2 linked regions of the Oryctolagus cuniculus genome follow. The protein of the gene in region 2 interacts with the protein of the main gene of each other region in a biochemical or structural test. Links are inferred from orthologs where the notes say so. Each region holds a gene or a part of one and is shown on either strand. Other genes may lie near its edges. The genes, in order: TGFB1 and DCN.

What was found.
Region 1: the proteins of DCN (region 2) and TGFB1 form a complex in vitro, tested with the Homo sapiens proteins (3 studies listed by BioGRID). The link is inferred for Oryctolagus cuniculus from reciprocal best matches to the Homo sapiens genes DCN and TGFB1.

The regions. Positions count from the first base shown.
Region 1 is NC_091449.1:13,277,829-13,281,677, reverse strand, and holds the start of TGFB1 (transforming growth factor beta-1 proprotein), read right to left. Parts: upstream 2,929-3,849; 5' UTR 2,002-2,928; coding exon 1,641-2,001; intron 1-1,640. Other genes in the region: B9D2 (B9 domain-containing protein 2), read right to left, coding at 3,598-3,849. UniProt on the Homo sapiens protein: Transforming growth factor beta-1 proprotein: Precursor of the Latency-associated peptide (LAP) and Transforming growth factor beta-1 (TGF-beta-1) chains, which constitute the regulatory and active subunit of TGF-beta-1, respectively.
Region 2 is NC_091442.1:93,984,006-93,987,817, forward strand, and holds part of DCN (decorin precursor), read right to left. Parts: intron 306-3,812; coding exon 167-305; intron 1-166. UniProt on the Homo sapiens protein: May affect the rate of fibrils formation.

The sequences.
Region 1 (3,849 bases), on a different chromosome or scaffold from region 2:
TACTCAGCAAACCCCAGGAGAAGGGCAGAGCGAGGCTGGGGTGAGGGATAGGAAGTGAGAAGTCCAGGCAGGGCTGGAGGGTGCCGGGAGGGGGCTGAGGGAGAGAGACAGACCGGGGAAGGAGGCTCACACAGGAATAGGAGGGCCACGATGGACACACCCGCGGAGACACGCGAGTTTAGGGAAGAGGACGTGGCCTCCTCAGGAGAAACTCAGTGAACTAATTCACACCGCGGGCGAAGGAGAAAGCGGAAGCGAGGCCAGATGGACCAGTGGGTGGGGAAGGGGCGCCTTTGGACTACAGCTGCACATCAGGCGCGGGCGCGAGCCAGGGACCCCCAAGCCCACCGCACAGGACATAAAGTGAAACCTGGGGATTCACCCCAAGTCCCCAGGCCACGAGGCAGCCTGGGTCCCCGCGTGGGCGCCGACGGGGCGGGCCCACAGGCACCCCTCCCACAGCTGGGGGGAGAGGGGCGGGACGCGCCGCTGCCGCGAGGGCGGAGACAGACCTGCCTCGTCTCGCCCCAGGCTCCGCGCGCGATCCCCGCCCCCGGGCCACGGGAAGGAAAGGGAAGGGAGGAGGGGTGGCGGCCGGACGCTGGGGTTTCCCCAGCCTCCCCGGAGGAACTGCAACTCCGGGGTCCGCAGTGCCGGCCTTCAGCCCTGCGGGGTCCTCCTTCCTCTTCGGGAAAAGCGAGCTCCTCCCCGCCGCGCGTGGCACCCATGTGGGGCAGCCTCACCCCCACCTGCTCACTTTTTTCACCTGGGCCTCGCACGGGCGCCCCCGCCCAGACCTCCCCCCAACCGCTCCACTCCTCGTCCGGCCCCTCCCATCCCACAGCGAGCGGGTTTCGCGGCTCAGCGCCCAGAGCACCGCCACCTCCCCTCTGCCCCATCCCAACACACCTTTCCCACGCCCCTCCCCTCTCCGGAAGCCCCTTCCCCGACTCAGGAGTCCTGGTTCCTGGGATTCCCTGCTCTGTGCCTTCACTCCGGCTGCAAGCACGCGCGACCCTCTGCACGCACCCTGGGCACGCGCTCCGGGTCTCCGCTCCTCTCCCGTCAGCCTCCTCCTCCCACCGCCGGCCTCGCGTCCCATGCCCGCACCCGTCACGCAGACCACCGCCTCTTTGCCACGACCCCTGCAGTCCTGCGTGTCCTGTGCGCCCTGGAAGCAGGTCCACGCTCCTGGCACTTTGCTGCTGTTCGCTTTTGCTCCTTCCGTCTTTCTGTTTCGTGACCCCCAATTCTGCCCAGCTTTCTCATTGGCTCCCTTACCCACAAACTAGGGGCTCAGCCTCTACCCACAGAGCACCCCTCTCTGCAGCTCCCACCCCGCGACCCCCGCATTCCACGGGCCCTGCGGAGGGAACGGCTTCTACCCCATTGCCTGTGTCCCCCGGGACCTCCCTCGCCCCCGCGGGTCCCGTGCACTTGGCGCACTGTTCCAGGACCAGTCCCTGAGGGTCGGGGAGCTCAGCGCCCTCGTCTTTAGGACACGCCCTCCCCCACGTTCCCTGTGCACCCAGGGGTCCCCTTCCTCCCGCTGTGTCCTCCGCGGGTAATTTCCTCCCTGACCCCTGCGCTCCGGCGCCCCCTGGGGGCCCCCTCCCGGGTCCCCGTCCCTCGGAGCTCACTGTTGTTGCTGTCCACCATTAGCACGCGGGTGACCTCCTTGGCGTAGTAGTCGGCCTCGGGCTCCGGCTCCGGCTCGGCGCTCTCCCCGGCCACCCGGTCGCGGGTGCTGTTGTACAGGGCGAGCACGGCCTCGGGAAGCGGACCGGGCGGCACCTCCCCCTGGCTCGGGGGACTGGCGAGCCGCAGTTTGGACAGGATCTGGCCGCGGATGGCCTCGATGCGCTTCCGCTTCACCAGCTCCATGTCGATGGTCTTGCAGGTGGACAGTCCCGCGGCCGGCCGGCCGGGCGTCAACACTAGGAGCCACAGCAGCGGCAGCAGCAGCAGCGGCAGAAGCAGCCGTAGCCCGGAGGGCGGCATGGGGGAGGCGGCGCACCCCGGCACTGCCGAGAGCGCGAACAGGGCTGGGGTGGGATGGGGAGGCCCCGCCCCTGAAGGGGCTGAGGGTCTCCCGGGGTAAGGGAGGAGGGTCTCAGGGAAAAGTTGAGGCCCTCAGGAAGACAGAAGCAGGGGTGGAGGGGAGGCTGTGGCCAGGGTGTCTCGGTATCCCACGAAAGAAACGGAGACAGGCGAGTTCTACTACCAGAAGGTGGGTGGTCTTGAGTAGGGGAGCTGGAGCAGGGCTGAGACCCGTCCCCAGAGGAGGGAAGGTCCTAGGATGCTCGGGGTTCAGGAGACGGGCAGAAGGTGAGCCTGAGGCTGGGGCAAAGCCTTCGCGGGAGAAAGGGTCCGAGGCTCGGAGGGCTGGTCCGGAACGGGGGTCGCTGTGTAGGAGGCAGCGAGGGAGCAAGCGTCCGAGGCGGTGAGGAAAGGGGCGGCCTGGGGTCCCCAAGTCCTGCCTCCCCCTGGGCCAGCGCCGCGCCAAGCGGTCCCCGAGCCTCCGGCTCCCAGCCGCAGCGGAAAAGTCTCAAAACTTTTTTCCTCTTCTCCCAACCAGCTCGTCCCTCCTCCCGCTCCTCCTCCCCCTCCTCCCCGCAGTGGCGGCGGCGGCGGCGGCGGCGGCGGCGGCGGCGGCGGCGGGGGCGGCTCTTCTCAGACTGTGGCCTCGGGCTGCTCCTCGGCGGCTCCTTCCTCCGCTCAGCTGCGCTCGGGGCCCAGGCTCTGCCCGCGGGCAGCTCCGAGCCGGGGGGGTGCCCCGGAGGGGGCGTCCCCCCTGCCCCCGGTCGGGGGCCTCGCTGTCTGGCGGATCCGCGGCGGGAGGAGGGAGGGGGACGGACCGGGGCGCGAAGGGCGGCGTCGGCGGGGACCGGCCAGGGCGGCGGGGGGTTTTGAAGCCGCCCCGGCCCCACCCAGGAAGCGCGTGGGGCGGGGGAAGCCTCCAGGGGGCAGGGCGGGCGAGCGGACGGGCGGGCCACCGTCCTGATCTCGAGTGGGCGGGCTCCGAGGGGGGTCCCTTCTGCCCTGGGGGGGCGGGCACCCGGCTCCGCCCCGCGAACGGGAAAGGGGTGCTGCCTCCTGGCGGCTGAGTGCTACCAAAGCGGTGCCTGAGATGCACCATCACAGTGGGGCCATGCGCGGTGAGAGACCTGGCAGGGAGGGGACACTGGGAGGGGGGGACTAGGGCGAGGGGTGTCTCAGAACTGGAAGGGTGAGGGGCTAGGGCACAGGATGGGGGCCCGAGGAAAGAGGGCAGCAGGTGAGGGGGGCACAAGAAGGGGGTCACGAAGGCACTGGTACCTATAAGTTGCACCCACCTTTATTGAACCCTGCCCGGGTGCTAAGTAGCCCCTTCTCACCCAACCCCCGGGTGCTGGCATCCTTCCTGCCCCATTTTACAGAGACAGAAACTGGGCAGCAAGGGGCAGTTACAGGCCTGGAGGTCCTGGCAAGGACCGAAGTCGTCCCATGCCTTGGCTGCAGACAAGTCTCTGGGGCCCCCGATGCTGACCTCCGCGCCATCCTGACCCTCGCTGGCCGCGCAGGGGTGTGGATGCCGGTGACAGCTCGGGCAGAGCCTCAGCACTCAACACCGTAGCGGTCGAAGTGGCGCAGCAGCAGGCCAAGCTCCAGGTGCACAGTGCCACCCGCGGCTGTGTGCAGGCGGTAGCGGTCAGCCCCGCTGTAGATGGTGTCCCCGTGCAGCAGCTGCGGCCCACCGCCCACAAAGACCCGCGCCAGCTGCTCCCGCCAGCTGCCCAGGGGCCGCCACGTGGGGCACTGCAGCTGGTGGGTCCCGGGGCTGCTGGGCACATGGCAAAAGCCATAGCC
Region 2 (3,812 bases):
AATTTTTGTTGTTTAAGACACTCAATTTATGCTATTTTGTTATGAGAGCTCTAGCTAAGACATTCTGCAAGCAACATTTCTAAGTAGTGCTTCCTGACTCTTAGCATAAGCGTAGGGAGCGTTTACTCTAAGTTATCCCTCATAGGAAGCAGTGGTGTTGTATTACCTGAATGTATTTATGATCTGCCAGACCACCAGGTACTCGGATAAGTTTGTTGTTGTCCAAGTGAAGCTCTCGCAGATGAGGGGCATTGGCCAGAGAACCATTGTCCACAGCAGAGATGTCATTGAAACTCAGACCCAACCTGCAACGGAAAGCAGAAATGAATCTGTACACCACATATGGGTGCCTTTCTTACATGTGTTGTGTCAATAATTAAGTTGATAGAAAAGGCTGAGCTTGACTTGGCTCCTATCATTCCTTGTGCTTAGACTGCTTTTTCCCACCTTTTTAAAGCCTATACAAAGCCATTTATTCTTAAGGTTTCAGTTCAAAGTTACTTTCTTTGACATATCTCTGACAAAAACATGAGTTCTTGTACTAGTACTCTATAACCTTGAATGGCCAACCTCTAATAAAACTTGGAGGATTGTGCTTTTTAAAATTTTATATGCAGGGGCCGGTGCTGTGGCACAGCAGATTAAAGCCCTAGCCTGCAGTGCCAGCATCCCATATGGTGCTGATTCCAGTCCCAGCTGCTCCACTTCCAATCTAGCTCTCTGTTGTGACCTGGAAAAACAGTAGAAGATGGCCCAAGTTCTTGGGCCCCTCCACCCATGTGGGAGACCCAGAAGAAGCTCCTGATCAGCTCAGCTCTTGCCATTGGGGCCATTTGGGGAGTAAATCGGCGGATGGAAACCTCTCTCGCTCTCTGGCTCTAACTCTATATAACTCTGTCTTTCAAATAAATAAAAATAAATCTTTATAAAAATTTATTTGCTTATTTGAGAGGCAGAGAGAGAGAGAGAGGTAGAGAGAGAGAGAACACTCTATGATCCTATAATCCATTTAATCATTCCCCAAATACCCACAGTGGCTGGCACTTAACAGGGACTAAAGCTGAGAGCTGGAACACAAGCCAGCACATCCATGTGGGTAGCAGAAGCCCAATTACTTGAACTATCACTGCTGTCTCAGAGTCTGGATTAGCAAGAAGCTGGATCAGGAGCTGGAGTTGGGAATTGAACCCAGGTACTCCAATGTGTGTCCCTGTCCTTGTAATAATGATTACTCTATGTTATCTGTGGTATTAACTCAGAATTTGTCATGTCCCATAAATAGATGTTGAATTGGTTTACATGTATAATGAATATAGCAAACTCATCTAAGAGAGAACCTAAAGAAGTAGTGTATTGTTTTGGTCACTTTGAAAATAAGCAATCATATATCTTAAAAATTTATTCATTGGAAATAAGAGGTGCAGAACATTCCTCAGTGGTCCTCTGTCTCTCAGAGCTTTCCTGGCCCCAGCATTCCTAGGTACTGAGTTAGATATCTCTCCGCCCCACATATATACCCTGCAGGTTTGATTCAATCAAGGTTTTGGCTCATATCTTTTAAGTTAAAGGTGTAATAGATGAGGTTTTTGCTGCTGTGACATCCCCTTCTTGTAAATGGGAATTCAGGCACAAAAGTTGACATGGGGATATTGCTAGACTATTCGACATTGTATAAATGAAATCTTCAAGAATAGCATGATGTCAATTCACCAGACAGATAGGGCTGCCAGGAATGGGGCAAGGAGATAATGGAACAGAGCCAGAATATTACAAGGAGAGACAGAGAGAGAGGAAGAATCTATCGGATTCTTTTCAATAAAAGGGATAGTATCTGCACACCATAAGATATATTTTCCTAAATTTAAGCTATGTATGATCAATGGACTCTGTAGAGATTTGGATGTCGACTTAGGTAAGTAGAGTTGCCCAATTTTAATCATGTTTTGCTTTTTGAAACAATTGGAATTGATAGTATCATTAGTTTATCTCAGCTTTTGCTTATTAACTTGACATCTTGACTCAGAAAATTTTGGTTTTTTCCCATCTTGAATGTTCACCTCTTGTTTCTGAGTTTTCATTTTTCTATTTCAAATTGTATTTCCTATTCTTCACAGTATTTCAAGTCTCAGTGTGGACTGGCATGTTTGTTTTAAAATATCTAATAATTAATTCAAGGAAAATATTCCTTTACTCAGCTACCTATTGTATATTCAGTAAGGAATTTTTTTCTTTGTGATGGAGGTATTCACTATTTTCTCCTGACTTGTTTTTCTCAATAACAAATTGGAACACTTTCTATGAAACAATGTTTTGATATCGGTGGCTGATTCTTTCATTTTACAATTTTCATTTTCAGCATCAAAGTTCTTCTCATGTTCCAGTGTCAATGAGGAGTAAAAACCAAAAATATTTAGTGGTTTAATATATAGATGTTTCTGGATGGATTTGATTCTAAAAGCAATGTGCATGATAAACTAAAGAACTGTGGAAATTTGCCTGACCAATGCAGTAATGTGCTCTAATTTAACACATGGAATCCAAAGTCCATTTAAAGAGAAATTTGAACTTCCATTAGGCTTTTCAGCATATATTAGCTCTCTACACTTCCATCTGATACAAAGCATATGACATATCATTACTGAGGTACAGAATCTCATGACCTCCTTACCACTTTCAAATATGAACTTTCAAAAAGACATCCATTATGAATAATTTAGAATATAGTCTATTTATCACTTCAGAATATTATTTATTCCTACTACTGCTGTAACCACTTATAATAATAATTCAATAACAGTAACCATCATAAAGACAAATTTACACAGAAAACAACACAACTTATCTGCCTACATTTTTCAGCAACTAGAGGGATCTAATCAATAAAGGGGTGCAGGTGATGCATATGTCATTGTGAAAAATGTTTTCATCCTTAGAGACTGTAATTAAAATAGCTCTAGATGAAGCAGTTCTTACTATTTGGGACACCAGGATAATATATTTTAGCTACAGTAACATGCGTATGGTCCTCTTCAGTTTTCTTCATGCACGGAATCATTGGGAAATAGCCATGGAAATGAGGAAAACTGTGTTCTGCATCGATTTGCTCATAGGCATTTCTCAAAGATACAAGGATGTGCTGCGTTTTTATTCATCAACACGGAGTTTATATACAAAAAGACAAGAGAGTCAATGTGGCATAATACTGTGCTTTTCTATTGGAACATTTAGCAAAATACGTGGATTGAGAACAGAGTACTTCTTGAATACAGCTGAGAAAGTTTCCCAGTGCTTTCCTTCCTTATTACTTAACCAGATTGTGAATACAGAGACTGCGGTTGTTAGAAATCAGGACAGGCACAAGTTATCATTTATGAAGAAAAATTTTAACAATGGACAGAAAGAGAAAAAAAATATTTAGTGTACAGATCCATTTTATTTTCTTTTAAACTCTCCAGAGAATAAAGGATTCGGAAATCTCATCACAAGTTTTTTAATAGGGATCTGTCAGAAGTCTGATATTTCCACGTCCTAGTAGCTTTCATTCTGATGCATTTGCAAATTCAGGACACTGAATTTACTTAATCCTCTGTTTGACATTAATAAACTAGAATATATTCAATGAACATATTCATTAAAAACTGATTTTGAAATAGAAAACCTTATTCATAAGCTATAAAATTAATATGGTGTTCAAAAATATGAAATTGATCTTGGTGATTATAGTAAGTATCCTGTTTATTTTGCTTTATTAAAAGAGTAATCAGATAAGTTGGAGTCTGAGACTGTTAAAAACAACAACAACAAAATGTGAT